Struthio camelus: one gene and its partners. The protein of the gene in region 2 purifies or fractionates together with the protein of the main gene of each other region. This does not show direct contact. Links are inferred from orthologs where the notes say so. Each region holds a gene or a part of one and is shown on either strand. Other genes may lie near its edges. The genes, in order: WAPL, PDS5A and SMC1A.

Region 1 (10,310 bases), on a different chromosome or scaffold from region 2:
CAGACATGGCGCTGGTCCTCTGTTGCTAGAGGAGGAGTAGAACAGGAGAATGAGAGTCCTATCAAAAGAACTCTTTATCAGAAAGAAGATTTGAAACACCAGTTGCTTGTTGCATTTTTGTGTTTTTCACTCCCCAGCAGATATTTTGTCAGACAGTGAGTTTTGGTAGCTTGTATTAAGGGCTGGCATGGTGAAGATAGACATAGATTCAGCATTCAACAATAATGTGCATCATCAAGCTCTCTAAGAAAAGTTGGGGGAGAGGGGAAGGTTGGTGTTGAATTTGGTCCTCTGATAAGGCTGCAGCAGATCTCAGGTATTCGAGAGACTCAGTCCCCTTTTATTCCGTAACAAAACAATGTGAACTTTACCTTACCAAAGAACCTAAGCTTTCTTTGCCTTGAAGGATCACTTCTAAATTAGGCTGCATCCTCACTGCAAGTGAGTTTTTCTCCTGAAACACCTTGACGTGTTGTAAATTCTTTGTGGGAAAAGGCACAGGCAGTTTATTCTCTCAGTGTAGCTTGCCGAGATAAACTCCATAGCGGAATAAAGTTCTGATCGTGACAAAGTACAAGAAGGTCGAGGCTACGTTGTGCTTTTCCCACTAGTATCTCACCACAGGTTTTTCCAGTAGACTTGCAGGCTGTTCACCTAGGGGAAAAAAATTGCACAGAACAAACACCAAGAATTTAGCCGTAGGTGAATGACTACTGTTGGTTTGTCAAGCAGAACTAGTATTTCTAGAGGCTTTTACATAACAGAGATGATGAAGCCTCTCACATGATTGCAACAGATAGGTGTACAGGCTGGAGAGAAGGTGGAGCAGCACAACTTTTTTTTCTGCTGGCTGCCTGGGGCTGATTCATTAGTGCCATGATCCAGAACCCTTTTATCAGCGAGAAGCAGCTCCTAGCTGCGCTTGTATAAGCATTCTTTTGTTTCCCTCAGTGGTGCTTGTTTTAATCTTTCCGTTATTAAACTTAATGCTGGATCTTGGCCACCTCCCATGATGAGAAAGCTACAGTATGATACAAACACTGAAAAATGTGATCCAACACTGTATCAAGCTTCCCCTTTTGGATCTTTTGGAAAGTGGTCGGTCTTCTCAGGGTTCCATGTCAGTAAATAAGCAATATTCTACTCGGGTGAAACACCTTAGTAAGAAAAGCCATTTTATTGACAAAAATCACAGTTCCTTACAAGCTGAGTTGCAAACCTCTCCCTCTCCGCTGGTGTTAAGTGCTGCTTTACGGTCCACTCTGATCCAGCTGCTGGTGTTCTCAGCACGGCGCAAGTGCATTTTTCTACCCACTCCCAGACTACCACTGGTGTTGCTGAACTTCCTCCACCTCGTATTAGCAGTGATACTAGTGTATAAATAACTATTTTCAGAGCTATTTCAGAGAGGTTGACTAAAACATGATAATTAGGTACTTAAGGCATCTATTCACCCTCCTTTCATCTTTGCTATGCAAATAGCAAGGGGAAAATTCCATCCCCCGCCAAGCGAATGGCAGAGCCCTGAGTGCTCTCACCGGGGCATGCTGGGTGACACCTCCTGAAGGACAGGAACGGGAGGAGACTGACATTTTACAAAGAAAAACCAAAACACATGAAATGTTTAACATTTTAAGTGGCACTAATTGGGACATGAAAGCTTTGCAGCAGCTGTGAATGCAGCAGGACATCCTCTTCTCCCCCATCCTTTCCCACCTGGAAGAAAGGCAAGGAAGGAAGGATTGTTGAAAGCTGGGGGGAACATGGGAAGCAAAGAGGGGCTAGGCTGAGACACAGAAGAAGAGGAAAGAGGAGAAGACAGAGAAGAGGACTGAGGGGTTAGTGGGTTTCATGATCCTGAGGAGAGAGGTCTGGATGTTAGGAATAATAGAGCCTTCCTGTGAGTTAATGTTTGCCTTTGGCAAACAGTGTTTAGCAGGGCCTGGGGGCAACGGGTTATTGAGCTCGTTCCCCTTTTATGGGAAAAGGGGGTGCAGGGAGGATGCGTTACGCTGTTAATTCAGATACTTGATATAAAGGATAGTTACTGTTCTGATTTGCATAAAAATCTGCTTGGGAGCCTAACTTTAAGTACACACAACTGTCAAATGCTAGTTTTGGCCATGAAGATAAGCCAAGCACTGAGAAAGCTTTCTGACAGCTTCTAAAAGGACGCTGCTGTCTTCATCTTTCCCCATAGTAACTGCTAACTGGGAACTCTTCCATTTTCCTACTGTGTTGCCTCCATTTTCTTCTGGAGGAAAATGTAAGTTGAAACACTTTTTAAAATCTTGTAATGGCTGCTGAAAGATTGAATCATGTAAATGGCTCCATCCTTGGCTATAACTTATTTTGAAAAGTCTGCACTGTACCCCCATAGAGATCTCAGCATAGAACTTGAGAAACAGAAGTGGGAGGGTTCATCATTATCAGGATGAGATATGTCTGAGTAACTCTTCTGTCCTTACAAGTTTCTTCTTCTGCCCTACTTTTCCCTCTTTTATCTCTAGCCTTGAAGCATTTGAGCTGTGTTTTTCAGTGCTTTCTGACTTTATTACTAGTAATGATGCTTGTTTGGGGGGGGGTATGGAATGTGATAAGAAAGCTGTAGAAGTCTGTCTGTCTGTCTTTCTATTTTAAGACAGGAAATTTGAAGACTTAAGATGGCTGCTTACCTCTCACTATTTTCTTTATGGAGGCGAACGCCAAAATGGAGTGTCCCCTCTGTATCTGTTTTTCTGTAAAGGAAGATGGCAACTATCAGTAATAGAATTCCACAAAAGGAGTAAGATGCCTGTTAAACTCCATCCTTTAGGAGAATTAAACCCACCTACTGCCAAGAGTAGGTGGGATTTGGCTTATATTTGCTCTGTCTTGGTACTTGCATATTTGAGGTAAGCCAGATAAAATAGAAATAGCGAAGATTAACATGCTGTTTGCTAACTTATTAAGGTATTTGGTATAAACATTTTCAAAAGTATCTAGAGTAAGGTAGGTGTTAGAAGAATTGGCCTGTCTCTCCTGTTCTTGAACATGACAATTTGTTAGCTTTCAAATAAGTGAAAGGTTTTATTAGCCTTACAGCCTTCTGCTAATACCAAAAAGAGGATAGTCAGCACATAAGTTAGGTTAAACTTACCCTCTGTTAGTCACGTGAAATTTAAGCGTGACCGTGATGCTGCAGTGCTTTGGATTACTGTATGTGGGGATTCCGCAGAGCGTAGAAATACTGTTGGAGAGACGAAGCTCGCCGGCAGGGGCTAGGGTACGTGAGAGCTTTCAAACAAACTACTACTAGCCAGCGACTGTCACTATCCTGCCAACTCTTCTAAACTGCTGCTGCTTAAGTGACTTGAGTAGCAGTAGCTCAAGCTCTAAAATTTCTATTTTATTTCCAAATACTCCTAGAAAGTATTCTCAAACAGCTTGTTATTAACAGTTTGTTAGCCTTATTCTGGCTATGTTCCTTATGTTTTGTGCCTCTCAGAATAGAGTTGTTTATGCTGTAATGAACTCCACAGAGCCTGACTCCTGTGCTCATTCTGAGTTGTCACAGGACTGTTTTTGGCTCTAACAGAGCAGTTAGTCACCAAATAAGATTTTTGAACTCCTGCAATAGAATGCAAAACTCAGGCTGGTTTAGACATCCATTTTACTCTTGAAGTTTAAACCAGCTAATTAGCAGCTCTGCTAAAAGAATTGTCGTGGGGGCAGGCGGGAGCTGCTCACCCATTTGTATTCAACTTGTGTATTTTAAAATGTATAACCTGTTTTTAATAGCTCTTCAATCACCGAGTCAGGTGGTTAAGATGTAAATAATCTTTTAAACCTTCCTTCAAACAGAATGAGCACCTCTATCATATTGCAAATCAAGCCTGCACTTCTCATCACGAGGCCCTGGTCTACTTTATCTTCGCTTTCTCTTTCTAGTGGCAATTGTATAGTGTCTTTTAAGGAACACGTTTGGAGAGTTTGTTCTCTAAAAATACTACCTGTCAGTACATCAATAGGTGTCAGGTAAAGGCAGAAAGTTGGTTTACTGACAGGATCATTAAACAAAACAAGACTCTGTCACGTCTACTAAAAAAACTATTGAATTTGCGTTGTGTGAAGGAAAGGGAAAAATCGAGGATAAAAGTCATGATTCTTAACTGCAAGTTCGGAGACAACCCTAAGCTCTTCCGTGCAGTGGTGTCAGCGGGTTCCCCCCCTTCTTAATTTCCAGTGTTTGGGGCCTGTATTTTAAACCCTTTCTGCAGCTGGCAGGCTTGCTAGCCGCTCGCTGAGACTGCTGTTAGGCTCCGGGGGGGGGGGGGGTGGTGGTTTCTTCAGAGGAGCGAGCAGCTCGGAAACGACCAAACTCTCGCTGTGGTGGGGGGGAGCATCGGCGCTGTGTTTGTTCCGTGCCGCGGCGGCAGCCGCACGGCCCCCCGCGCCCCGCAGGGCTCCGCGCCGCGCCCGGCCGGGCCGGAGCGACTCGCGAGCCGCCGGCGTCGGACCCCCTCCCCCACCCCGCCAACTACAACTCCCAGCAGGTGCCGCGCGGGGCGGGCGCGGCGGCGCCGGCGCGCGCGGGGCGGGCGCATGCGCGGCGGCGCGGCCGTCGGTTGAGTAAGGCGGGGTGCGATTGGCTGCGGGCGGCGGCCGGGTGCGGGACGCGCAGTGACGGAAGGAGCGGGGGGCAAATGGCGGAGAGATGGTCCCGGGGCCTGTCCCGAGCGCGGCGATAATCCCGGCGCGGAGGAAGCGGCGCCGGAGGAGGCGGCGCCGGGGGCCCTAGCGCCTGCGCCCGCCCGGGAGGCCGCCGCCGCCGCGGGGGGAGGGGCGGAGGCGGGGGAGCCCCGTCGGCGAGCGCCTGTCGCAGGCGGCGGATCGGCGGCCAGGAACCGCGGCGAGAGCCACATCCGTGGCGCCGCCGCAGCGCGCCGGGCCGCGCCGGGCCCCGCCGCCCCCGCTGACGCCGAGGTAGGTGCCGGCGCGGCTGGCGGCGGCCGCCCGAGGCCTGCGCGGGCCGCCGCGGCGGAGCAGGCCCCGGCGGGGCGGCCCCCGGCCCTCTCCCGCTTCCGGGGCGGCGGCGGCGGCGGTAGCGCCCCCCCAGCGGGGAAGGCCGGGGCGGCCGCGGCGGGACTTTGCTCGGGGGCGAAGGGCGGCCGGGCCGGGCCGGAGCCCGCGGCGGGGGGGAGCGGCCGGCGGGGCAGGCTCTGCCCTTGGCAACCGCCTCGCTGGGCCTCGGCCGCCGCGCGGGCCGGGCCGGGCCGGGCCGCGGGGGCTGCTCTGCGGCCCGGCCGGGTTTTCCTCCGCGGCGGGGGAGGGGGCCCGCGCGAAGGGAAATGACATCAGGCGCGGCCGGGCCCGCACGGCGGGGCCACCCGGTTCCGCCAGCACCCGCTGCCACCGGCACCCCCCCGCCCCCCCGCAGGGGGAGGGGAGGCAGAGAGAGAGAGAGGAGGGGAAAAAAAAAAAAGAAACTGTCACCGTGGGATTTCATCAGCTGCTCCTGCCTCCGTGCATTTAACCTATTTTCCTTTCCTTCGATTATGTAAGAGGGGTGGCGTAGCAAGGAGCAGCGAGGAAAGATGACTGATGTGCCTTCTTTACGATTGTCGGTTGTTTATGTCCGGTCGGCCTGGCAGGGTAACTCCGGAGAACACAGGCGGTTTATTTTTCGGTTTGTGCTTGTATTTATCTTTCTTGTCCTACTCCACATACTGCAGCACGAGGTGTGGAAAGGAGAGAGGCAGGGAATGGAAACAGAGTGAAATTGGCCGAGTTTATTATTTTGCCCTGAGTGAAAAAACAAGGGAGAATTGAAAGTGATTAATTAAAAAAGAAAAATCCTTTTCTGTTGATATTCTGATTTAAGGAGGTACATACGTCTGTCCTTATCTTTAATCAGACTTCAAGCTATGCGTTTATAGTATAGGGTACTTATCTTTCCCCAGACACTCATCTTTTAACCTGTTTCCATCACGTAGCATATATATATATTTGAGTATTGGCCGTTTTGTTCAAATCTTCTTTAGAGAAAGCTTTAATTTTTAATCTTGTGAATAGCACGGTCTAGAGTGTAGAGCTCTACTTACTGAAAATGAAGTACTTTTGGCTACAGAAATCTTTTTTTCAAAACTGAACAGCACAAGTCACAGTTTAAGCCTGCCATTATTTTTTGCGGATGCTGAAAGGGCAAACTGTTGGGAATATTTATTTAAGTCAGGGAGAAAAATGTGCTTGTGGTGAGCAAAATGAATTTTTCCTGATAAGAGTTACATAGAAATTCAAATGTTATTAAATAGTTCATTTTTTATAGCTGTAAAAACTGGCCTACTATGAAATATTTTGATTTCTATTACAAGTATTTTCAAGGAGCGGTGAAATAAAACTAGTAAGTTTGATTTGTTTTGCTGTTCATTTTCTAAAATATGTGGGGAGACTGTAGTTTCACTCTTGGATGGAAAATAGGAAATTAGCTAATATCAGGGGAGCAAAAACAGTAGTTTGACGGCCATGTTAGGAGTGCCGCACAGTAGACAGGTGACGCTATGGGAAGAGAGCGCTTGCTGTTTAGTTTAATTCTGAGTAGCAATGAGAAGTCCGCAGAATGGTATTTCATAGCACAGTTCTGGCCAGTACATAAGCATATGCCTTTATCATCCATCTGCTTAACTGCTGGGGAGTTGAATGTTTCCCAGCACGGTTGTTCCTGGATCTTCTGCATTGCAACACCATCTGGTTGGTAAACTTCTGAAACTTATTTTTTAGTTCACCTAGCCCCACAGATGACCCTAGGAATTGCTTGGTTGGTACCATAAGTGAAGCTTGGCCTAGTCTGATAACGGGAGACTATTATTAGTGAGACGATCTTGCTAGGCTGCAGTGATAGAATGACATTTTTGGAAAACAGTCTGGCTTTTTTGGCAGAAGTAAGTCCGGTATTTCAGGTTGAGAAACAGCGTGTATCATGATGAGAACTAAAATATGAAAGACGGACAGTACGCCACCGATTCAGGGGAATAAAAATAGTTTTTTCTAACAAATTTATAGTGTGCTCACAAGTTTATTAATGAAGATTTCAAGCCCTTTTTTTTATACTTTAATATATATGCAAAGGGTTGGCACTTTAAAAGTTGTTTCTTTAATTCTGTAGCTTAAAGGAATTTTTTTCCCTTTTTCCTAACAGTTTTTTTCTACTCTGGAGAGTACTTTCAGACAAAAGAGATGGACTTGGTTAGAGTCATATTGACTATTTAAAAAAAAAAAAATCTACTTTCCTGTTCATGTTAGGGCTGAAAAACTTAATAATAATAGTTAAAAAAAAAAAAAAAGATAGAGATTCTGGTTTGTAAAGTAGATATGTTAGCTCTATGTTCTATATTGTCATTTGTCTAGGAGTCACGGTATTTGTTTTGGCAACAAGAAACAAGCTGCTCTGTCTTCCTTCTTGAATCAAACAAAAGCAGCAATAGAACACACCAAGGGAAGTGTTTAAATGTGTTTCTGTTTAATCTGTTTATATTTAAACTTTACTCTTTTGACAGAGCAAGCTCTGAACTGGGCTACAGCTATAACAGCCAGTAAACAGTGATCATTTGTGTTTGTTTGCAGTAGGTATCCTCCATGTTCTTAGAAACGAATTTAGAAATGTCTGTTCCTGTCCGTTCACCAAATCAAGCCCAGCCATGGGGGGTTGCTGTGTACTGGTTTTGGCCATGACTGTGCAGATGGTATAAGCCACAGGGTATTACCACAAAATATGCTTACTGTGTAAGCCTGAGCTTTTAAGAAAAGCATGAGGTGAAATTGTTATTTGTGACGAATTCGTATTTAAAACATCTATATCAAGTTGGAATATTTTGACAGTCCCTTTAATTTTTAACTACGGAGAGCCTTCTTAAAATGATACTGTGTTATGGGATTCTAGCGGAGTGCTACACGTTCAGATGTGCTGAAAGTATTGTTTTGTTTTTTGCTGATGTTTCATGGAAGCAGTGCCATCTATACTAGGAGATATAAAACTAGAGCAAAGCACATACCAAAAATAATGCACTCATAGCAGATTCTTCTTACAGATTCATTGTGCAATATCTTTATTTTATAAATGTGCAAGTAACTGGATTTCAGGTTAAGTTGATGGATGTGAAACTTGTTGCAGAAAATGTTGACAGATAATGGCGTTCACCTGTGGATGAATTCAGTTAGTCTGTAGAAAGGAACTGATGATGTATCTGTTGTTAATGTGAAGCGTGAATGTCTCGTGCTCATAGGCCCAATAAAGGGTGGAATTGCAATCGTTTGTACTAAAAAGTTAGTAAAGCTGTTTCTTCTTTCTTTTCCAACAGAGAATATGAAACAGGAGCCAAAATGACATCCCGATTTGGAAAGACCTACAGCAGGAAAGGAGGAAATGGCAGTTCAAAGTTTGATGAAGTATTTTCCAACAAACGGACCACCCTTAGTACAAAATGGGGAGAAACCACCTTCATGGCCAAATTAGGACAGAAGAGGCCCAGTGTCAAACCAGATATTTCCGAAGTTCCTAAAAAACCCAAAGTTGAAGATGAGGTAACAGAGGATCCATTTGGATTTGACAGTGATGAAGAGTCTCTTCCCGTGTCTTCAAAGAATGTGTCACAGGCTAAAAGCTCCTCTCAGCTGGAACCCGGTGAAGCTGCTCAGTCTGAGGACTTCACTTCTCTACTTGAAGCTAATAGCAGAATTAATCAGCCAGACAGCGGAGAAAACATTGTGTCCAGCAAGTGCATATCTTTTGATGATACTGTTCCCAGCTTAAAAGAAAAGAGCACAAGCAAAAACGTAGAAGATGGAGAATGCAAAGGCAGCAGTGCTAAACTCGTAACTGCAGGTACATTGACCCAACTGTCTGAATAGTGTTGTTACCCTCTAGTTTTTCAGATCTACGCTGAGGATTAGTGCTTTCTGAGGTTGATTAAATATTCTAATCAAACCTTGGGGCAGCTGATTTTTCATCTCCTTTTAAACTATAAGTGCAACGAAACAATGTATGTCTTGTGTTGGTCTGGGATCCTTGGTACTCGATTCCTTATGTCTGCAAATTCAGATACGGTGCTTTAAATTCAACATAATGCGTTAGCCCACTTTGTGTAGAATGGAATAATTATCTTCCTTTTCTGACGTTTGTTCTGAGCTTTGTGCTTTCATGTCTTTTCAATATGTGGTATCATAAAAAGTGAAGGTTTGGTAATAATGGAATGTAATGTTCTTAAGATACTGACTCTAATTTAGTGTAGGTAAATGGGGATAAGGCTTGCTGCCTGCCTGCTTAATGATTTGTATGGAAAAAGTGGGTGCTCTGAATTTCTGTTGCACAGAAATATGTTATTTTTCTCAATTAGCACACTTTTTATCAATGTGTTTGTAAAAGCTTCAGACTTAGGAAGCAGAACTCTGTCAAACTTCTAATAGGGGCTGTTTTCAGGCCCCAAAGTGTCTGTTTATAGGATAACTTTCTGATTTTGAGCGAGAATGCACAAACCCCGTGGTGCTAAACATCACTCTAGTTTTGTTCAAGTCATTCTTGGATAAAGATCAGGTGCCATTATATTTCATTAGAAGTTTTTATATAATGGGCTGATTAAACTGCAACTCCTAACATTGGGCAGAAGATCACATTAGATGAATCTTGAGGAAGATAACAGCTACTGACTTGCTCTAGATTGTCACAATGGACTTTAATGAGAAGAACTTACGTAACTCTGAAGTCTGAGGTATAGCTGACTTATCCCTCGGATCAGAAATTTGAGTGGACTTGTTCACTTGTTATACAGTAGACAAGGAAGATACTGAATAGTGTGAGATTTGTGTCACGGTGTAAGAGGAACCAAAAAATGTTGATGAAACTGTAGTCTGTCAGAAACAAATGTTAGGCTACGTAGTTTTTACCCTACCCAATTTTACCCCTATTTTTGCTGCTGAAATTATTCTTATTTTTCATAGGGTTCTGCAGTTTATTTGTAAGTACTATGTGAATTCAGGCTAGAAATGAAATTTATGTTCTATTAACATAAAGTTATAAAAGTTTTCAAGAGATTCCTTCTCTGCTGTTTCATCTCCTTGTAAACAGTGATGAGTTTTGTTGGCTATTGATGAGAGAGTGCAGCAGAGGGGGTGTTAGAATGAAACGATTTCCATGTAGGAGAGCCTAGTGAGAAAGTGTTTTTCGATTTAGAAGAGAAAATATTTCGAGTCTTTTGGGGATAAAATAACTTGGGGAGGAAACGTGATTAGAGCTCTAAAAATTCCCAATGCGTAAAGGGCCAGGAGGAACTGAGTGC
Region 2 (11,196 bases):
TGCAGGACCCTGCACTTGCCTTGGTTGACCTTCAGGAGGTTCCTCTCCGCCCATCTCTCCAGCCTGTCCAGGTCCCTCTGAATGGCAGCACAGCCTTCTGGTGTGTCAGCCACTCCTCCCAGTTTAGTATCATCAGCAAACTTGCTGAGGGTGCACTCTGTCCCTTCATTCAAGTCATAAAGTCATCTAAGTCATACCAGGGCAAAAGTAAACAGGTAGGAACATAAGATTACTTTAACTCTCCAATACTGTGTATTACATTGTTCCCACTGAAAGCAACAAGATTCTTTCCCTTTCTACCTTCACCCCACTTTCTCCTTAATTAAGACAAGGCCCAAGATGGGATGATTAGGATTCAGTAGGTATCACTCATATGGGGGGCCTGACTGTGAATAAGATATCCCAGAAACTCAGCTGCCCAAGAAAACGAATACTTAAAATCACACATTGCAACTTCTTGAATTACGTTAGTTCTGTCTTAACCTAGAAAAAATTTAGCCCAGTTCCAGTTCAGAGCAATGTCTTCTGCAGTTATGACTTGCCGTCATCTTGCCACAACTGCCTTAGCTGACCTTCAGTTACCTTGGCAGTTACCTTGCACATTGGAGACCTGAAGGTTTTGTGTCCTGGGGCAGGTTTGTTCCTACAGCTCTGACTTTACCAATGAATGGAGGCCATTAGTTGTATTGTTGGAAATATTCTCTTGCTTGGTCAGCATAAAACAGAATTGTTTTCTAAAAACAGTAAGTAAACTTTCCTATCCTGGTCAAATTCCAATTGAGATAACAGCATTCTACATACAGAGTTCCTATGGTTTCAGCTGGATGTTACATTCACGTCTCTTAACCTACCCTCTGGTACCATATGGTGTAGTTAAACAGCTGTTGCACTTTGTGTGAGAGGTGGCCTCAGTGACTGATGCTTGAAATGGATCTCCTTGGTATATTCATTTATAAGACCCTTCTGGGTTGGTATAAGTTATAGAAATGCCAAACATTACTCTTTTTTTCCATTAACCTTGGTTTAATTATTGCAGTAATATAAACGAAATCTGATTTTTTTAATATACAAATATACTATTTTACTCCTAGATTTAATTTTTAGACAATGCCCTTAAATACATAGATCTCTAAGATGTCTAATATTAAATCTTCTATAGGATAAGTTCAATGCCTTTTTTAAAAATAGACAGTGATATTCAACAGATAAAAACACATGGCAGTTACAATGAAAGTCAGCTTATTACTTCTTGTCATGTGCAAGGCAGAAATATTAAGCACAGTTTGTTTTTCCTCTTTCCAGACTCAACAGAGCAGGATGGATTTTTGATTTCTATGAAATTTGACATATCAGATTGATAAAAGCAGCATAGCAGAGAACATCCAACACATGAATGAGATTCACCACAAATCAAAACTGAAGTGCAAACTTATTTCAAATTCTGTCCTTGTGGCAGCAGGGTTTCTGTCAGGCATATAAGCATGATCTCATTTCTTGCCTGCAGAGAAGACACAATTAAGTATAATTCTTTACCTCTTGGATTACATCATTTGTTGTCATCATCTCTGTTCTCTCCCCATCCCCTTTCCAAAATTTCAAGAATATATAAATATATCCCCCCTCCCTTCTGTCCCTCCTTCTCCTCTTCCCCTTTTCACTTTTTTTACCTAAAGAATTAAAGAATTAAATTTCTACCTCCGGAGTACTGGGCAATGTGCTCTAGAGGACTCTGAGCAGAGCGGGTTGGACTAGATGATCTCCAGAGGTCCCTTCCAACCTCAAGCATTCTGTGATTCTGTGATTCTGTGATTCTGTGAATCTAATTCAGGCTGAGGGGGGAGTTATTTCTGTAGGAACACAAAGTACAATATCCTGGACAAAACAGTGATAACTGGAGATACAGAGATTCCGATAGCCAAGTAAGACATCTTAAAAGAGCATTAGGGTAAAATGCCATTTAAAAAAAAAAAAGAAAAAAGTGTCAGTTAACACACATTTCTTTTCCCTCAATGGTGAATAAAAGCTAAAGCTGAGGACAGAATGAAAGGCTCCATAAAAAAGAGGAAGGGTTATGGCATGGAGGGACTGAATCAACATTGTATCACAAAGTTTACTGAGGGAAATAGATGTGGGCTCTTTTCACCTCTGTACTCTATAGGGCTGGAAAATATCACTACAATTTAGGGCTCTGATTAGTTGTCCAAAGTGAAACTCTCAATAAGGATGAAGATTATGCCTCAAGTTCCTTGAAAGATAACTTGTTTTAGATTACTGAAGGCAGGCATGAATTTGTCAGGCGTGACAAATTTGTCAGGTAGCATTATTTATATTTTAACGTACCCTATTTCTCAGATGTTTTCCTATACTATATATTATTGCAAATTCAATATGCTATTGCAAGTAGAAATAAAACTGTCTTTAAACCTGACAAAGATAAATATGTCTATCTTAATATACCATAATGTTACTCAAACTTTAAGCTGCAAATTGTTTTTGCATAGAAAGAAAGCAGGTGCAAATTTGCTGAGTGGTCTTAGTAGGCTGTATATAATCAAAAACAGTAAAAGTGATTGTCATTTTCTTGTTTTTATGGCTCATCTTTGGTAATAATATTTTAATGTGAACTATAAGATAAGCAAGAACACAGTAAAATGTTTTTATTTGAAGAGGCAGCATTGCAGAAACTGAAATGGAAAAATCTGTCATGAAAGTATTCACCGAAGACCAGACTAAACACTTGTGCCAAACAGCACAGATTACATGCTGTATGTTCAAGCCATTCCAAGTAAAACAAGCCAACTGTAGACATAAGGAGAGACAAAGGAATGAAAAAAAATTAACAGATAATAGGTGATTACTGTGTTGTTTGAAAATAGTTGTGTGAAAATAAAAAAAAGGAATACAGATAATTATAATCACTCACTGTACCAGAGGTTCTTTCAACTATCTAGATGCCAATATCCCTCCTATTTAAAGTGTTAACTGAAGTAGTGAGAAATCTGCCAGTACCCAAATTAGTCTGGCATTTTCATGGTGTCAAATACTGTAATGTGTACAACTGGCAAAGAACAACATACTTTCATGCATGAAGTGCCAGCAGCAACACCCCACTAGCAATGCAGTTCAATGGAGGCTATCAGATTCAAGCATGCTAAAAACCTTTCTCTTCCTCTTTTTTGGCAACTTAAAAATATAAAGACAAAGTCATTAGACTGGAATTTACATGACCTATCTTTCCAAACGTATGATTAACACGTTACCAGCATCACGCCCTTAAAGAGAAAAGATTTTGTTTCTGATACTTGTCCAGATACTGAAAAAATTAAGCAAACGCTTCCTTGTACATGCATGAAAACACCACTTGGCACCAAACACACAAATTCTGATCAATATTTGTTCTCCTCCATATTTTTGGACATTTATAATATTAGTATATTGAAGAATTTCTTATTTTACTTCACTGAGTCATAGCAGAGTCTTTTTTTTTCTTTTTTAAACCTACCAGCACATTCTGTGGACTGAATGCTTTTAAGTATTGTATTAGAAATGTAAATGTTTGGTCTTATTTATTTAAATGTAGCATACCATATAACTACAAGATAACCACTGAAATACCAGAGTGACTGGCAAATTAACAATGCCTAAATCAATTTCATTCCTAAATCATACTAAATGCTTTTAATACCATTTTCAGAATGTTAACATTATTTGTATTGCAAGAACACATGCAATCCTGGAGACAAAAATGATTTGCTTTTCACTTACTCTGCTATCAGATGGAAGGCAGTTGGGGATTGTGATCAAGTTACTTTGAGCACCCTTCTGCAGTTTCACAAGTGAGCCACCCCATAATTAGTTCGTCTTAAAACTATCAATTATTTTTGTACTTTCTGGTTCTTTATTCACATTAAAGTTGCAGCTCTAATGCAAACAGGTCAGCCCTGACAGTGAAGTGAAACAATAGCGAGACTGCAAAAGGAAGCAGCTGCGGGAGCAGGAGTCACTGCGACACAAAACTGGCAGTGACTTTTCCTGATCTTTCTTGTGATGAAGGATGTAAGCTTAGGTGCTAAATAAGTAGCGCTTCAGTGTAAGCTGTCTGTTAAAGGCCACTTCTTGTTTCCCTCTTCGAAGGAAAATGAAAGAGAAATTAGGCTGGGAGAAAACCACCTTGTTCTCTGAATTGGATGAATTACAATGCAAGTGAAGATCGTGATGGGAGACAATATTACTCCCTTTGGGGAAGAAATGATTCTCTTCTTTCACAAGAGAAGAAGCTTCTGTTCACTAGGAAAATCGCAGTGTGACATCTCCAGCTAACTTCCTCCTGCGGTATTGTGCCACGATGGGAGATGGTTGAATACAGATGGAAGGGGAGGTCTCTCGAGACAATGGAGGCACAAAGGAGGGATGTGAGAAAAAATCATCATCCTCCTGGAGCCAAGTGAAAAGCAGGAAGATAAGCAGTTGAGACCCTGCCCTATTATCTGGCTGGCCCAGGCAGCGAGACAGAGCTTTCAAGGAGGCCTATGGCTATACATGTAAGTGCGGTTCTTGGAAATCAGCTAATGGGTAAGGTTGATCAGGATTCTTCCGGTTTTTTATATATGATACTATACATATATATATTACTCATACACGTAAATAAAATCTGTTTATTATACCCTCTTTTGCATGACTGTCCATCTGTCAAGTGCTCATTGCTTGTTGCAGAAGTAAACGTCTCTCTAACGAAACCCTCCGCTAACGCGGTACTCCTTCTCTCGCCCGGCGCTGCCGCTCCCTCCTCCACCCCGCGGCAGGCGCCAGACCCCTCCGCTCTCCTCCTGCTCCTTCACGAACACCGCCGATCCCGTGACGGCCGCGGAAACGCTAGTTTCTGCCCCAGAATCAGCCTCGTTCTAGACCGCGCTCAGAACTCTTCTGCTGCCACGTTATAAACTGCTAGTAACACAGGGCAGCGGCACTAGACACGGAACACCCTTCCTTTTCATTACTGATCCAAAGCCCACCAGTCGCTACGCGGCTGATAGCCGTAACTACCCTGCTGTCCTCGACCTGCAGTTCTCCGCTGCACCCACCTGCATCCTGTCGTCATGCCCTTTCTAAGCAAAGTCTATCTCTCAACACAGATTCTGCCACAGCAGTGCAGCATACAGTTCCTTTTTTCAAAGATTAAGACGCGAAGCCAGCGGCCAGTTTTATCGCTAACGACGTGAAAAGGGCGGTTAAGCGCAACCATCCAGAGACAAGGACGGCAATTAGCCAGCCCGCAGACTAAACACGGCCTGCCTTTCATGGCGCAGGACTTCACTCCCCTGCCTCCCGCCCCTTCCTAAATCGCTTGTTTTCCTTCCCAAACGACTTCCTTTAGAGTGAGGCCGCCGCCTGCACCACCGCCCGGGCCGAGCCGGGCTGGCAGCGGCCCCGAGGCGGGGGCCGGGGCCAGGGCCGGGGCGGGCGGCCGGCGGCCGGCCTGGGCGGCGCGGCGCGGCGGGCGGAGGGAGGGAGGGGAGGGGGCCGGGAGCGGGCGCGGAGCCTCCTCCCGGGCTGTTCTTCCCCGGCCGGACGGAGAGCGGCACTGTGTCCCCGCGGCGCACGCTCCGCCGCTCCCCCTCTCGCCGGCCGCCGCCGCGCCGCTCCCCGGTCCCTGCTCCTCCCCGAGCGGCAGCCGCCGCCGCCGCCAGAAGCGAGGGAGCCGAGGGCCAGGGACACGGCGAGACACGGTAAAGGCCGGCCGCGTCCGGCGAGAAGCGGCAGGAGCCGGGCACGAGCCTCGTCCTCCCCCTCCTCCCCATAGGGCGCGGGGCTGGCGGAGGACGAGGCGGCCCGGCGGCGGCGCCAGCGAGGCCTAGCCCGCGGCCCGGCGGCGGCCCGCCATGTCGGCGGCGGGCGCGGGGAGGCGGCCCGCGCCCCTCGGCGGCTGCCGAGCGAGCGCGGGCGGCGCCGGCAGGCCGGTCCCCGGCGTCACGGGAGGGGAGGGAGCGGGGCGGGTGCTCCCGCGAGCCGAGGGGCTCGGCCCTGCGGGCGGCCCGTCGCCAGCCACCTGCCTCGGCGGGGAGGGGGCCCGGCCCGGCTCGCGGGAGCCGCCCCCTGCGCCGCCGCCCCCGGCCCGCAGCGGGGGAGGGAGGCAGGCCGGGGAGCGCGGGCCGTGAATGGCGGGGCTGGGGCTGGGCCCTGCGCTGCGCGGGGGCCTCGGGCCGGCCTTGCCGCTGGGCTGCCCGCCTCGCGCGGGCCCGGTGAAGGGCTGTGGGTCTGCCCCGGCCCTCGCTGCGTGCGTGTGTGCGTGCGTGCGGGGGGCGAACTGGTCACGCCGCCCCCGCCGCTGCCTCGCTGCGGCTCTGCCCGGCCTGTAACTGCGTAGGCGGCGGCCGCGGCGACCGGTTTTCTCTCGGAAACGCCCGAGTCGTTCTCCCTCCCTCCTCCTCCTCCTCCTCCTCCTCCTCCTCCCCAGCGGCCTCCGAGGGGGCTGGTTGCCGCCCGGCGGCACCAGCAGCCCCGGAGCCCCCTGTGGAAAGAGCCGCCGCTCTGAAACCGGGGGAAACGCCGCGCCGCTCGCCCTGAGCAGCCGTGTCGAGGACGGTGTCCCTACTCTGCTTCTCAGAGAGCAGAACCCAGTGAGTTAAGTGGGCCGTTTACGAAGTTTCCTTCAAAACGAAATCAAAAGATTTTTACTGCTTTAAGGCTTTTATTTTGAACGGTCTAAAACTGCTGAAAGAAGCACGTTTCCAAAGTTGCAGCGTAGTGTTCACGTATGCTTTGGGAGATGTTCTGCACGTATTCTGCAGTTCTGCTAATCGAGTGCCCTAAGGTCGTAGGGGCTTCAGAGGGGAGGGAAGAAAACATACTGAAGAGCAGTACGCCCTTAACTCTTGTCCCGAACTAATAACGATTTGAACGCTGACTCCGGGAACGTTTTACTCTCTTGACAAAGTTTAGTATGTGTCTCAAGTCTTATGAGGCTTTTGGTGGGACCTTGTGGTTAAAATACGACAATAATTCATACGGAACTTAAGCACAAATCCTACGCAAGTTGTTTGGAAGAGGTTTCAGGTGAAGCAAAAGAACAAAGATGATGATGAAGTTGCTCCTCAGCCGTTTCACCTTTACTGAGTGGCAAATCCTAGCTTCAGGATTGGCTACTGAAGTAAAAGCTTTATACAATAGGACTTGGGATATGATTGGAGAGTATAAGCTTAAGACACAAACCTGAAGCAAATTACAGAGTAGCAGAGACATCCAGAGTATTTGAAATCACGACAGTTCTAGCCCCGCTTTACCTGGGGTGTAGTCACCATTACTAGGGTAGGGCTAGCTTGTGTCACGTGTTTGTAGTGCTTTTAAGTTGCAGTAGTTTGTCTTGCTGTAGGTTATACCCGTGTGTAGAGCCTACAAAGGAAATCTAACAGCATCCAAGCACATCTTAAGAATGCTTTCCTTTATAGGCTTTCTTCATTTGTGTTCTTTTTTTTTAGTGTGGTATTTTCCTGTGCTTTTCATGCCTTTGTTTACACTCGATTTCTTTAAGAAGTCTCCCTCTGTTGTATTAACGCTAGTACGTTTCATCTAAGGAGAGCACTAATGTGGGAGAGAAGCCAGATTCTTAGTGTTGCAAATGCAAAAGTGCAATAGAGGTGACAAAAATGTTAGCCTGGGCATGGTTTTAGGGAACATCTATGGCATATTCACAACTGTTTCACTGTGTGGTGTAGGTGGATCATTAGCTGTGACCTTGTCCAATTTAAAAAAGAGAATTATGTTGTCTTGGGTTACTGTATGAAGATGTTGTAATAGGCATGTAGGATGGTTGTAGTTCTGAGGTGTGTCATGGCCTGTTGTCTTTGACTCCTCCCTGTGTGCTGATCTGTAGTCTACACTAAATGACTGAAATAATCAGTCATGTTTCTGTTTTGAATAGACTTTTTCTATGTGTAGTTAGCTCCAGTAAAAGTTGTAGATTATTAATCCTGAGTTTTAGGAAGTTGCTGCCTTTGTCTAAACTACAGAGGCTTTGCTACTATAAAAATGTCAGTAGGGCCATTAAGTGTTATGTTACACTACCTCTCAGAATTAAATAAGGCCATGTTTTCTCCTGAATCCAGCTGTGCTTGTGGAAGAGGTTAAGCTCTCCAGCTGTTTCTTCTCATGACTCCACTGGGGATTTTGATCTATCAGCAGGATGGTTTATGTAAATGATCCACATTCCATTCAAAAATGTTATTAGTTAAAACCAGCATTTACAGCTATTTAAGCTGAGCTGGCTGACCTTTTTCTTTTCTCTCTCTCCTCTGCTCTCTCTCCTCTGCTCTCTCTCCTCTGCTCTCTCTCCTCTGCTCTCTCTCCTCTGCTCTCTCTCCTCTGCTCTCTCGTCTTTTCTTTTAAATCATGTGAGGTGAACTTGTGTATTGCTTTCTGGAGGTAAATTAATAGGGTTAAGTCTTGTTGAAATAGATATTGACAGTAATTTGGAGGCAATGCCATTTTTCATTGATGTACCTGGATCTGGATGAGGTCATCTATCTGTGGTTTACATTAAGTTTTTTTTTTTTTTAGTGTAATAGCTGTGTATGTGCTATGTTCAGTTGGCCTAGTGGCCTCAGAAAAGGGAGTGAATTTAAACACATGAAGTAGATAATATTCTACTGATAGATTCGCATGATGTGGTTTCCAGCCTAGGACCTGATCTAGTGGATTCCCCCAGATATTTAGCATTATTTTAGGATGTATCTGCATGAACAAACTATCATTCCTGTTTTGCATTTTTTTAAGTTGCATTGATATGATGCAACTTGAATCAGTGTAAGTTGGTAAGTGTATTAGGTTTCATTGTGGCATATTTTGGTGTGATAAAATATTTTGGAGTGGCGTTGTGTGTGGACCGCCAGCAAAATTTACAAACTGTTTTATGCCCTTTTCCAACCTGGATCCCTGGCTTTCTGATGTGTTCTCTACTGTTCTGAGGTCACCGGTAACTCGATATCACCTTGGTGAAAAACCTGGCTCATGTTCCAGCACACATTGTGCTCTGATGCTCCAGCAGTCATTTTCTTCTCATCTGTGACCTCTTATTGCAAATGCTTTCTGCAAACCTGAATATATCTTTTTTCTGTTTCTGTATTTGGGCCTGTGCTGAAGTCCAAACATTTCTTGTGCTTCAGCTTCATCCCAATGTGCAACAAACCTTCATTTGGAGTTACCAGAACTGGGAATTGTGAGAGATTCGTCACCAGAGATATGGCAGCTGGGGATCACCAGGGTGCAGCCCTATTTGCACAGCAGACTTTTGAAGGACTTGAAACAGACCTTCAGGTAGGAACAGAATATACTGCAGAAAGTTGGCTGGACAGTGCCAGCTTTGGATCGTTCTGTGTAGCAGATGCAGGAGGAGACTGTAGAGTGGAGAAGGCTTCATATGTGGAAGTGCCTGAACCAGGACCTGGTCATATAGCAGAAGCCTTGCCAGGTGTCTGCATAGGTCTGGAGATTCATGCTCTGGAGTCTGAGTCATTGAGAGCCAGTTCCCTTCAGGCCCAGCCACGTTTAGAGTTTCAGCAGTAGCTAGACAAAGAAAGCAAGCTTGTCTTCATTTGCATGAGCAGCTAAAGCAAGCCAAAATTTGGGCAAGTAGAGTTCATGTTTGATTGCCCGTGCTGACTGCTGCCAACACAGAAAATTCTAAATAATGTATTCTGTACGTTCCACTTTTCCATTCCTCCATAAGGCCACCTGCCTCTATATGCCAGTAATAGTAACCATCACCTGTGATCTCCAGTAATACTCTTTTCCAGTATCGTCCCGTTCTGATGGAACCGCTCCTCATGCTGCCATACGCTTGCTGCTGCGCTCTTGCTGATCCTCCAGGTATTACAATAAGTGCTCACCCATTGGCCAGGTCCCCGTCACAGCAAGCGGAAAACAAAATGTATATCCTAATGAGAAACAGGAAATGGCAGTATAGCAGGATACAGCAGTATTAAAATTAACCTCATCAGGAAAATCTTGCTGAGTTTTATGTTATTTTTTTCCTTTTTTATCAGCTTCAAACGTTTTGTGCTTTAACCTATTACCTAGCTTCTCTGCTAAGTCTTGCCAGGGTTGCAGTTTGTAAAAGACCACAAACTATTTCCAATGCTTCAGAGACACAGCAGATCTTGAATTACAGGTGCAGGTGCTGCTGTCAGAAGGCTGTTCAGAGAAAGGTACAAATGTACATCTGGAGAATACGTGAAAGGCCATTCTGTTCTGCTGATTGTTCTGACAGAGCTCTAATTTTACAGAGAGGGGTTATCTTTATTCACTGCCTTTTAACCTGACTTTTGGACAGAGTCTCTGGAAACATAGTGTGAGCAAGTCACAGCTCTGTTGGGCAGTTGTTCTCTTTTCTCTTTGCAAAGAGAAAAGAGCTCTTGCTGTTTTATAACATGGAGCAGAAATACAATTTTAAGCAGTAGTACTAACTGCAGGTGCTAAACAACAGAAATACTAACATATCCACTAGTCTGATCTCATTAGTTCCAGCTTTCTGCATTGCTCTAGGGGCTAGACGTGTGTCATGGCAAAGCAGCAGAGCTATGTGGAATCTGCACCGGTGGGCTGCCCAGGCACTCTGAGAGCTCTGCCTTGTGGAAATGTTTCACTCATTAAAAATGAGTTTGAAGGTGTGGATAACCCTTGCTACGGAATACTGGAGCCGGGCTTTGAGCTCTATGGGAGGCTACCAAAGAGTGAAGGAGGGAAGCTGTAAAAGGACTTGCTGTCTCCAGGCTCTCCTAAGGCTGGAAAGAAATACTGCAGGTACTGTCGTCGTCTTTTTTGAGGAGACAAGCCTCTCCACCTAAACGAAGAAAATAGCTGCCTGTTGCTTTTCTAGCCTGTCAGGCTGCATATCTGCAGCCTCCAGAATCCCAAGGCCACCCATGTTTACTATGTTCCAAGCCCTGACCTTCTGCACACAGCAGAAAGGAAGGTGTTTGGAGTCCTTGGGGAGGCATTTAGCAAATCATGGGAGGAATACAGATGCGTGGTGGGAATACCTTAAGGAAAGGGATAGCTCATAGAAAACCTGTCTGGCTTACTTTAGAAAAGCTAGTGATAAGAGTGCTCAGGTGTCAGAAGTAGTTCTAGTTTCATCTGAAAAAAGTCCAGCAATGGGAGAAAGAACAGTGAAAGAGGAGCACAAAGGCAGTAGTCCTTAAC
Region 3 (10,268 bases), on a different chromosome or scaffold from region 2:
AGGACGCCCGTGAAACGCAAAAGACGACTTTGCGCGGTCGGGGCAGCGCTCCGGGCGAAGGCAACGGCTGCGGGACGGGCAGAGCGGGGAGCCTCGGGGCCGAGAGGAGGAAGGGCCGCGCTGGGGCTCGGCGAGGCCGCCGCCCCCCCTTGAGCTCCTCGGTCCCCCACCTTGAGCTCCTCGGTCAGCCGCTCCTTCTTCTCCTTGAGCTTGTCCACGGCCTTCTCGTCCCAGCGCCGGGCCTTGGCCTTGAGGTCGCTGGCGCCCCCCGAGATCACCCCCGACTTCTGGAAGAGGGTGCCGTCCAGCGCCACCGTCTGCGGCCGGGGAGAAGAGGGTGAAGCGGCGGCCGGGGCCGGGGCCGGGCCGGCGGCCCCCGAGGGGGCCGGGCGGCCGGGGAGCCCCCACCTTGTGGCGCTGGTGGCCCCCGAAGGCGATGCGCCGGGCGTCCTCCACGTTGTCGCACACCAGGGCGTTGCCGCAGGCGTACTGCAGCGCCTTCTTGATGTGGGGCGGCTCGTAGCGGATCACGTCGATCACCAGCTTCGCCCCCTTCAGCTCCCGCAGCTTCTCGTCCGTGGGCTTCACCTGCGGCCCCGGGGGTTCAACGCGGCCCCCCCCTTCCCCACAGCCCCGGGAGGACCCTGAAACGGGGCCCCCCTGAGCCCCGACGCCCCCAGGAAGAGCCTCAGCCCCGAGGGATTCCCCCCCCCGCCGCCAACGTCCCTAGAGCCCCCCGGGGGTCTCCAAGGGTCCCCGCGCGCCCGGGTCCCACCTCCAGGTAGTCGAGGGGCAGGAAGGTCTCGGGCTCGCCCCGCTGCTCCTTGATGTACTGGATGCAGTCGCGGCCCGTCTTCTCCGAGTCCACGATGATGGCGTCCATGTTCTTGCCCAGCACCTTGGTCACGGCGATCTGGTACTTCTTCTGCGTGGGCTGGCACAGGTCGATGAGGCGCCCGTACTGGGGGGAGGCGGCGGGGGGTCAGCGGGCCCGGGGTGGGGGGCACGTTTGGGGGCCAGGCAGGCAGGTTGGGGGGCAAGCTCCGGGGCCGGGGGAGCCCCGGGGCTCGCGGCCGCACCACGGAGCCGGGGTAGAGGCGCTTGATGCTGTCCATGATCTCGGCCTTGCGCTGCTGGCGGCTGCTCTCCTGGCGGTCGATGCGGGCGTCCCCCAGCTGCTCCATCACCTGGTTGAGCTCCTTGTTGATCTCGTCGATGCGGCGCTTGGCCAGCTCCACCTCCTCCGTCAGCTCGCCCTCCAGGCGCTTCTGCTCCTCCAGCGACTGCCTGCGGGCGCGCGGGGGGCACCTCGGGGGCTGCCCGGGCACGGGGGGCACCCGAGCCCTAGGGCAGCCCCCTGGGGGCGCAGGGACACCTCGGGGACGGCCCTAGGGGGCACAGGTGTGGGGCACAGGGATGGGGGATGCCTCAAGGACCTCCCCAGGAGCACAGAGCTGGGGACACGGGGACGGGGGACACCTCAAGACCGCAGAGATGGGGACAGGGGACACCTCAGGAACCACCCTAGGAGCACACAGATGGGGACAGGGGGATGGGGGACATCTCAGGAACCATCCTAGGAGCACACAGATGGGGACAGGGGGATGGGGGACACCTCAGGAACCACCCTAGGAGCACACAGATGGGGACAGGGGGATGGGGGACATCTCAGGAACCATCCTAGGAGCACACAGATGGGGACAGGGGAATGGGGGACACCTCAGGAACCACCCTAGGAGCACACAGATGGGGACAGGGGGATGGGGGACACCTCAAGGACCACCCTAGGAGCACAGAGATGGGGACACGGGGACGGGGGACACCTCAAGGACCAGCCTAGGAGCACACAGATGGGGACAGGGGGATGGGGGACACCTCAAGGACCAGCCTAGGAGCGCAGAGATGGGGACGGGGGATGGGGGACACCTCAGGAACCACCCTAGGAGCACACAGATGGGGACAGGGGGATGGGGGACACCTCAAGGACCACCCTAGGAGCGCACAGATGGGGACAGGGGGATGGGGGACACCTCAAGGACCACCCTAGGAGCACACAGATGGGGACAGGGGGATGGGGGACACCTCAAGGACCACCCTAGGAGCACACAGATGGGGACAGGGGAATGGGGGACACCTCAAGGACCACCCTAGGAGCACACAGATGGGGACAGGGGGATGGGGGACACCTCAAGGACCACCCTAGGAGCACACAGATGGGGACGGGAGGGCAAAGAACAGCTCAGGGACCGCTCCAAGGACACACAGACGGGGACAGGGGGACGGGGGACACCGCAGGGACCACCCCAGGGACGCCGAGATGGGGACGCGGGGAGGCAGACGCCTCGGGGACGACCGCTCACTTGCTGGTGGCGATGTACTCCTCCAGCTTCTCGATGCGCTTCTGGTTCTCCTCGATCTCCCGCAGCTTCTGCTTGATCTTGGCCTGGGGCGGAGGGGGGTGAGGGGCGGCCGCGGGGGGCGGGAGCGCCCGCGGCGGGGCCGGGGAGCCCCACTCACCTCCGTCTCCACTTTCTTCCTCTCCTCCAGGTCCAGCCGGTCCTGGTCGGCCTTCTGGTCGCGGTTGAACTTCTCGAGCTCCTGGGCCAGCGTGGCGGCCCGCTTGCTGGCCTCCTCCTTCAGCCGGTGGTACTTCTTCACCTGGGGGGCGGCGCGGCGGCTCAGCGGCGGCCCCGGCGGCGCCCCGAGCCGCCCGGCCCCGGCCCCGGCCCCACCTGGTTCTCCTCCAGCGTGAGGTCGCGGCCCTGGCTCTGGCTCTCCTCCTCCATGCGCTCCTCGAACTCCTGCCGGGCCTTCTCCACCGAGAGCATCTCCTTCTCCAGCTCGTCCATGTCGCCCTTGCGCTTCTTGTACTGCTTCTGCGCGTTCTGCAGCGACTTCTTGGCCGCCTCCAGCTTCTTGATCTTGTGCGACGTGTTCTCCTTGGCCTTGATGTACTGCGGCCGCTTCTGGTTCAGCTCCGAGTCCTTCTCCCTTGGGGCGAGGGCGGGCTGAGGGCGGCCCCGGGGCCGGGCTCGCCCCCGGCGCCTCCCGGCCCCGCCACCTACTTGATCTCCTTCTCGATCTGCTGCTGCTCCCGCATCATCTTGCCCAGCTCCTTCTTGCGGTCCTTGAGCTCGTCCTCCACCCGGTCCATGCGCTTCTTGTCCTTGTCGATCTCCCGGTTCTTCAGGCCCAGCTCCTTGTTGAGCTTCTCGATCTCGGCCTCGTTGTGGTAGAGCTTGAAGAGCTGCAGCTGCACCTGGGCCCGCACCACCTCGTCCTTCAGCCGCTGGTACCGGTCCGCCTGGCGGGGGCGAGAAACGGCCGTGGGGACCCCGCCGGCGCGACGCGCCCCGCCGCCCCCCACCCCGCCGCCGCCGCCCCACCTCCTCCTTCTCCTGCTTGGCCTCCTTGCGCTCGGCGGCGATGTTCTTCTTGCGGTGGTAGTTGAACTGCGTGTCCTCCTCCGCCTTCACCATCTCCTTCTTGCGCTTGTCGTACTCCTGCGCCAGCTCCCCCGAGCGGCTGATCTCCTCGAAGAGCGCCGTGCGCTCCTTGGGGTTCTTCATGGCGATGGACTCCACGGCGCCCTGCGGCGGGGCGTCAGCGCCGGGACCCCCCCGCCCCAGCCCGGCCGGGACCCCCTGCCCCCCCCACCCCCCACCTGGAAGACGAGGAAGTTCCTGGCCTTGATGAGGATGCCGAGCTTCTCCAGCTCCTCGCTGTACTCGCTCAGCTGCACCACCCGGTTGTTGATCTTGTACTCGGAGGAGCTGCCTGCGGCGGCGGCGGGCGGCGGTGAGGGCGGCCCGGCGTCCGTCCGTCCGTCCGTCCGTCCCCCCCACCCGGCGCCCCCCACGCACCCACGATGACGCGGGCGAAGGTGCGGTCCTCGGCGCCCTCCTCCGAGTACACCATGCTGACGAAGGCCCGGCTGGCGGCCGGCTTGCCCACGGGCGCCCCGTGGATCAGGTCCCGCAGCGTCTTCACCCGCAGGTTGCTCGTCTTCTCGCCCAGCACGAAGCTGATGGCGTCCATCAGGTTCGACTTGCCTGCGGGAAGTGAGGGGGGGGGTGGGGGGGAGGCGGCGCACGGCATTGTGGGAGAGCAGGGGGCAGCCGGGCCCCTGCGCCGCGGGACGAGCGAGAGCGCGGTGCATCCTGGGAAGGCCGAAGGGCCCCGCAAGGCATCATGGGACACCTGAAAGGCTCCCCGGTGCATCGTGGGAAGGCCGAAGGGGCCCACAAGGCATCATGGGATGCCTGAAAGGCCCCACAGTGCATCCTGGGAGGACCAAAGGGCCCCGCAAGGCATCATGGGACACCTGAAAGGCCCCACAGTGCATCCTGGGAGGACCAAAGGGCCCCGCAAGGCATCATGGGACACCTGAAAGGCTCCCCGGTGCATCCTGGGAAGGCCGAAGGGCCCCGCAAGGCATCATGGGACGCCTGAAAGGCCCCGCAGTGCATCCTGGGAAGGCCGAAGGGCCCCACAAAGCATCATGGGACACCTGAAAGGCTCCCCGGTGCATCCTGGGAAGGCCGAAGGGGCCCACAGGGCATCATGGGATGCCCGCAGCACCCTGCGGTGCATCCTGGGAAGGCCGAAGGGCCCCGCAAGGCATCATGGGACACCTGAAAGGCCCCGCAGTGCATCCTGGGAAGGCCGAAGGGGCCCACAGGGCATCATGGGATGCCCGCAGCACCCCGCGGTGCATCCTGGGATGCCCAAACAGGCCCACAGAGCATCCTGGGACACTCGAAGGGCCCCGCGGTGCATCCTGGGAAGGCCGAGGCGAGAGGGCGAGGCTGCAGGTGCATTGTGGGATAGCGGGGGCAGCCGGGCCACCGCCGGGGCACGCGGAGCGTCCTGGGAGCGGGCGCAAAGCACCACGGGATAGCGGAGGGCGGGGGTCTCACCGGAGCCGTTGGGGCCGATGATGGCGGTGAAGCGGCGGAAGGGCCCGATGATCTGCCGCCCCTTGTAGGACTTGAAGTTCTCGATCTCGATGAGCTTGAGGAAGCCCATGATGGCGGCGGCGGGAGCCGGCGGGGAACCGGGCCGCTACGGGAGCCCGGAGGGCGGGAAACGGGGCGGCTACGGCAGCCGGGGGGGGACACGGGGACCGCGGCAGCCGCGCGCGCGCGCGCCAAGGCCGGCACCGCCCCGCGCCGCGCTCTCGCGAGAACACCCGCTCCTCCCCCCCTCCCCCTCCCACCACCTCGCACCCGCTACGCCATTGGCCGCCGCCGCCGCGCCGCGCGGGCGCTGATAGGCTCCCGCCGCCGCCGCTCTCCCCCCGCCGCCCCGCCCCTCGCGCCGCGTCAGCCGTCGGGTGGAGGCGGGGGGGGGGGGAGAGCGGCGGCGCGGTTTGCATACGGAGCCCCGCCCCCGGCGCAGGCGGATTGGCCGCGCGGGGGGTGCTCATTTGCATGGGGCGGGGCCCGGGTTGGGAGAGGGGAGGGGGGAGCGCGTCTCCATGGCAACGGGAGGGCGCCGGGCCGAGGGGGAACGTCGGGGGAGGGGGCAAAGGGCAAAGGTCAGGGGGGCAAAGGGCAAAGGTCGAGGGGCAGAGGCCTACGGGTTGAGCCATGTTTATTGGTGCGATGCGGGCCCGTGCAAGCCCCGCCCCCTCGTGCGAGCGGCCCCGGTGGCCGCGGTGGCCATGGTGGCCGTGGTGGTGGTCGTGGTGGCTGCGGTGGTGGTCGTGGTGGCCATGGTGGTGGCTGTGGTGGTCGTGGTGGCCGTGGTGGTGGTCGTGGTGGCTGCGGTGGTGGCCATGGTGGCTGTGGTGGTGGCTGTGGTGGCCATGGTGACTGCGGTGGTGGTCGTGGTGGCTGCGGTGGTGGCCGTGGTGGCCATGGTGGTGGCTGTGGTGGTCATGGTGGCTGCGGTGGTGGTCGTGGTGGCCATGGTGGTGGCCATGGTGGCCATGGTGGTGGCTGTGGTGGTCGTGGTGGCTGCGGTGGTGGTCGTGGTGGCTGTGGTGGTGGTCGTGGTGGCTGCGGTGGTGGTCGTGGTGGCCGTGGTGGTGGCCGTGGTGGCCATGGTGGTGGCCGTGGTGGCTGTGGTGGCCGTGGTGGTGGTCGTGGTGGCTGCGGTGGTGGTCGTGGTGGCTGCAATGGTGGCCATGGTGGCCATGGTGGTGGCCGTGGTGGTCGTGGTGGCTGCGGTGGTGGTCGTGGTGGCTGCAATGGTGGCCATGGTGGCCATGGTGGTGGCTGTGGTGGTTGTGGTGGCTGTGGTGGTGGCCGTGGTGGCCGTGGTGGTGGTCGTGGTGGCTGTGGTGGTGGCCGTGGTGGCCATGGTGGTGGCTGTGGTGGTCGTGGTGGCTGCGGTGGTGGCCGTGGTGGCCATGGTGACTGCGGTGGTGGTCGTGGTGGCTGCGGTGGTGGTCGTGGTGGCCATGGTGGTGGCCATGGTGGCCGTGGTGGTGGTCGTGGTGGCTGTGGTGGTGGCCGTGGTGGCTGCGGTGGTGGCCATGGTGGCTGTGGTGGTGGCTGTGGTGGCCATGGTGACTGCGGTGGTGGTCGTGGTGGCCGTGGTGGTGGCCGTGGTGGCCATGGTGGTGGCCGTGGTGGCTGTGGTGGCTGTGGTGGTGGTCGTGGTGGCTGCAATGGTGGCCATGGTGGCCATGGTGGTGGCCGTGGTGGCCGTGGTGGTGGTTGTGGTGGCCATGGTGGCTGTCGTGGAGGCCATGGTGGCCGTGGCGGTGGCTGCGGTGGTGGCCGTGGTGACCGTGGTGACCATGGTGATGGCCATGGTGGTGGCTGTGGTGGCCGTGGTGGTGGCCACGGTGGCCGTGGTGACCATGGTGGCTGTCGTGGTGGCTGCGATGGTGGCCATGGTGGCCGGGGCGGGGGCTGCGGTGGTGGCCATGGTGGCCGTGATGGTGGCCGTGGTGGCCGCGGTGGCCGCGGTGGTGGCCGGGGGGTCAGCGGGGGCGGCGGCAGGGGCACAGCAGGCGGGCCATGGCGCGCGACAGGCTGGTGCTGAAGGCGGCGTAGATCCAGGGGTTGGTGCAGCTGTTGAGGCTGGCCAGCAGCATGAGGATGGTGAAGGCCGGGCCTGCGGGCCACCGCCGCCGTCAGCGCCGCCGCGGCCACCGCTGCGGCCACCGCGGCCACCCGCGGCCAAACATGTTCTCCGTGTCCCCTCATGTCCCTCCGTGTCCCTCCATGTCCCTCCATGTCCCCCATGTCCTCCGTGTCCCTCCGTGTCCCTCCGTGTCCCTCCATGTCCCCCATGTCCCCCATGTCCCCCCATGTCCCTCCGTGTCCCCCCATGTCCCTCCGTGTCCCTCTGTGTCCCTCCGTGTCCCTCCATGTCCCTCCATGTCCCCCATGTCCCCCCATGTCCCATGTCCCCCCATGTCCCTCCATGTCCCTCCATGTCCCCCATGTCTCCCCATGTCCCCCATGTCCCCCGTGTCCCCCCATGTCCCCCATGTCTCCCCATGTCCCACCGTGTCCCACCATGTCCCCCATGTCCCTCCATGTCCCCCCGTGTCCCCCGTGTCCCCCCGTGACCCTCCATGTCCCCCCATGTCCCCCCATGTCCCCTCATGTCCCCCCCATGTCCCCCATGTCCCTCCATGTCCCTCCATGTCCCCCCATGTCCCCCATGTCCCTCCGTGTCCCTCCGTGTCCCTCCATGTCCCTCCATGTCCCCCCATGTCCCCCGTGTCCCCCCGTGACCCTCCATGTCCCCCCATGTCCCCTCATGTTCCCCCCATGTCCCCCATGTCCCTCCATGTCCCCCCATGTCCCCTCATGTCCCCCCCATGTCCTCCATGACCCTCCATGTGCCTCCATCTCCATCATGTCCCTCCACATCCCCCATCTCCCCCATGTTCCCCAGGTCCCCCAGGTCCCCCCAGGTCCCCCCCGTCCCCGTCCCCGGGCGCTCACCCTCGACGGGGGCCCGGGGGTCCCAGACGGCCCACAGCTGGGCGCAGAAGAAAGGGGCCCAGCAGCCCACGTAGACGGCCAGCACCACCAGCGCCATGCGGTGGCTCTTGGCCCGGGCCCGGCCCAGCCCGGCGACCGCCCGCCGCCGGCCCACCGCCCGGGCCACCGCCGCCAGCAGCCCGGCCAGCAGGGCGGCCGGGGCCACCAGCACGGCCAGCGCCACCCAGGTGACGTAGGCCCGGGCGCCCCAGGGCCGGACGAAGACGGCCCAGCAGTCCCGCTCGCCCGCCGCCACCTCCCGCTGCCCGAAGATGGCCACCTGGGGCAGCCCGAAGAGCAGCGCCAGCCCCCAGGCCGTGGCCAGCGGCCCCCAGCGCCCCCGCAGCTCCCGCCACGCCGAGGCCACCGCCGAGGCCACCGCCCAGGCCGCCGCCGGGCACCCGCCGCCCCGGCGCGCCTGCTGCTCCGGGTGCCCGGGGGGAACCGGCCGGGCGGGAGGCCCTCGGGTGGCACCAGCACCTGGGGACGTGGGGGACGTGGGGGACGTGGGGGTGGCACCAGCACCTGGGGACGTGGGGATGGCAGAAGGACCTGGGGACGTGGGGGACCCGGGGGTGGCAGAAGGACCTGGGGACGTGGGGGACATGGGGGACATGGGGGTGGCACCAGCACTTGGGGACGTGGGGGACGTGGGGGTGGCACCAGGAGTTGGGGACATGGGGGACATGGGGGGCACAGGGGTGGCACCAGCACCTGGGGACATGGAGGTGGCAGAAGGACCTAGGGACATGGGGGACCCAGGGGTGGCAGAAGGACCTGAGGACATGGGGGGCATGGGGGGCACAGGGAGCGACCTGGAGGTGGCACCAGGACCTGAGGACATGGGGGACACGGGGGGCACAGGGAGGGACCCAAGGGTGGCACCAGGACCTGGGGACGTGGGCGACCCAGGGGTGGCAGAAGGACCTGGGGACAACAGAGATATGGTGGACACAGGAGGAGACCTGGAGGTGGCAGGGAGACCTGGGGACAACAAGGACGTGGGGGACACATGGGGGGACCCAGGGGTGGCACCAGCACCTGGGGACAGGGGGGTGGCACGAGGTGGCAGAGGAAGGGGACCCAGGGACACGGGGGGAACAGGGGGGGACGGAGGGGGCTGGAGACCTGGGGACAGTGGGGACGCGGTGGCACCAGGACCTGGGGACAGGAGGCTCTGGGCAGCCTGGGGACCCCGGGTCACCCTGCGCCAGGCGGCGGCCAGCGGCCCCCGGGGTCCCCGGGGTCCCCACGGGTCCTGGGGATCCCTGGTGTCCCCATGTCCCCAAGGGGGGTCCTGGTGTCCCTGGGGAATGTCCCGGGCGTCCTTCGTGTCCCTGGGTCCCCAGTAGAAGTCCTGGGCATCCCTAGAGCCCTGGTGTCCCCTGGGGACCTCCTGGAGGTCCCTGGTGTCCCCATGTCCCCATGGCAGGTCCCGTTGTCCCCTGGGGACCTCCTGGAGGTCCCTGGTGTCCCCATGTCCCCAAGGCAGGTCCTGGTGTCCCTTGGGGACCTCATGGACATCCCTGGTGTCCCCATGTCCACAAGGTGGGTCCCATTGTCCCCTGGGGACGTCATGGACATCCTTTGTGTCCCTGTGTCCCCAAGGTGGATCCTGGTGTCTCTTGGGGACCTCCTGGAGGTCCCTGGTGTCCCCATGTCCCCAAGGTGGATCCTGGTGTCTCTTGGGGACCTCCTGGAGGTCCCTGGTGTCCCCATGTCCCCAAGGTGGGTCCTGGTGTCTCTTGGGGACCTCCTGGAGGTCCCTGGTGTCCCCATGTCCCCAAGGCAGGTCCTGGTGTCTCTTGGGGATGTTCTGGACATCCCTGGTGTCCCCATATCCCCAAGGCAGGTCCTGGTGTCCCTTGGGGACCTCATAGACATCTCTGGTGTCCCCATGTCCCCAAGGTGGGTCCCATCGTCCCCTGGGGACCTCCTGGAGGTCCCTGGTGTCCCCACGTGCCTGAGGTGGGTCTTGGTGTCTCTTGGGGACCTCCTGGAGGTCCGTGGTGTCCCCACGTGCCCAAGGTGGATCCCGGTGTCCCCTGGGGACCTCCTGGAGGTCCGTGGTGTCCCCACGTGCCCAAGGTGGGTCTTGGTGTCTCTTGGGGACCTCCTGGAGGTCCCTGGTGTCCCCGTGTCCCCAAGGTGGATCCTGGTGTCCCGTGGGGACCTCCTGGAGGTCCCTGGTGTCCCCGTGTCCCCGAGGTGGGTCCCCTTGTTCCCTGGGGACCTCCTGGACATCCCTGGTGTCCCCGTGTCCCCGAGGCGGGTCCCGGTGTCCCCTGGGGACCTCCTGGAGGTCCCTGGTGTCCCCGT

The links.
Region 1: the proteins of PDS5A (region 2) and WAPL purify together in Homo sapiens (affinity purification with mass spectrometry; 6 studies listed by BioGRID and IntAct, with this or other methods). This does not show direct contact. The link is inferred for Struthio camelus from reciprocal best matches to the Homo sapiens genes PDS5A and WAPL.
Region 3: the proteins of PDS5A (region 2) and SMC1A purify together in Homo sapiens (co-immunoprecipitation; 8 studies listed by BioGRID and IntAct, with this or other methods). This does not show direct contact. The link is inferred for Struthio camelus from reciprocal best matches to the Homo sapiens genes PDS5A and SMC1A.

What each region holds. Positions count from the first base shown.
Region 1 is NC_090948.1:33,736,552-33,746,861, forward strand, and holds the start of WAPL (wings apart-like protein homolog), read left to right. Parts: upstream 1-5,304; 5' UTR 5,305-5,576; coding exon 5,577-5,668; intron 5,669-6,525; exon of another isoform or gene 6,526-6,729; intron 6,730-8,336; coding exon 8,337-8,860; intron 8,861-10,310. UniProt on the Homo sapiens protein: Regulator of sister chromatid cohesion in mitosis which negatively regulates cohesin association with chromatin. Involved in both sister chromatid cohesion during interphase and sister-chromatid resolution during early stages of mitosis.
Region 2 is NC_090945.1:61,487,353-61,498,548, reverse strand, and holds the start of PDS5A (sister chromatid cohesion protein PDS5 homolog A), read right to left. Parts: upstream 5,222-11,196; 5' UTR 5,099-5,221; coding exon 5,082-5,098; intron 1-5,081. UniProt on the Homo sapiens protein: Probable regulator of sister chromatid cohesion in mitosis which may stabilize cohesin complex association with chromatin. May couple sister chromatid cohesion during mitosis to DNA replication.
Region 3 is NC_090979.1:409,194-419,461, reverse strand, and holds the start of SMC1A (structural maintenance of chromosomes protein 1A), read right to left. Parts: upstream 5,216-10,268; 5' UTR 5,029-5,215; coding exon 4,920-5,028; intron 4,053-4,919; coding exon 3,864-4,052; intron 3,778-3,863; coding exon 3,665-3,777; intron 3,591-3,664; coding exon 3,387-3,590; intron 3,305-3,386; coding exon 3,066-3,304; intron 2,992-3,065; coding exon 2,733-2,991; intron 2,659-2,732; coding exon 2,518-2,658; intron 2,444-2,517; coding exon 2,361-2,443; intron 1,288-2,360; coding exon 1,080-1,287; intron 962-1,079; coding exon 776-961; intron 589-775; coding exon 409-588; intron 318-408; coding exon 171-317; intron 1-170. UniProt on the Homo sapiens protein: Involved in chromosome cohesion during cell cycle and in DNA repair. Central component of cohesin complex. The cohesin complex is required for the cohesion of sister chromatids after DNA replication.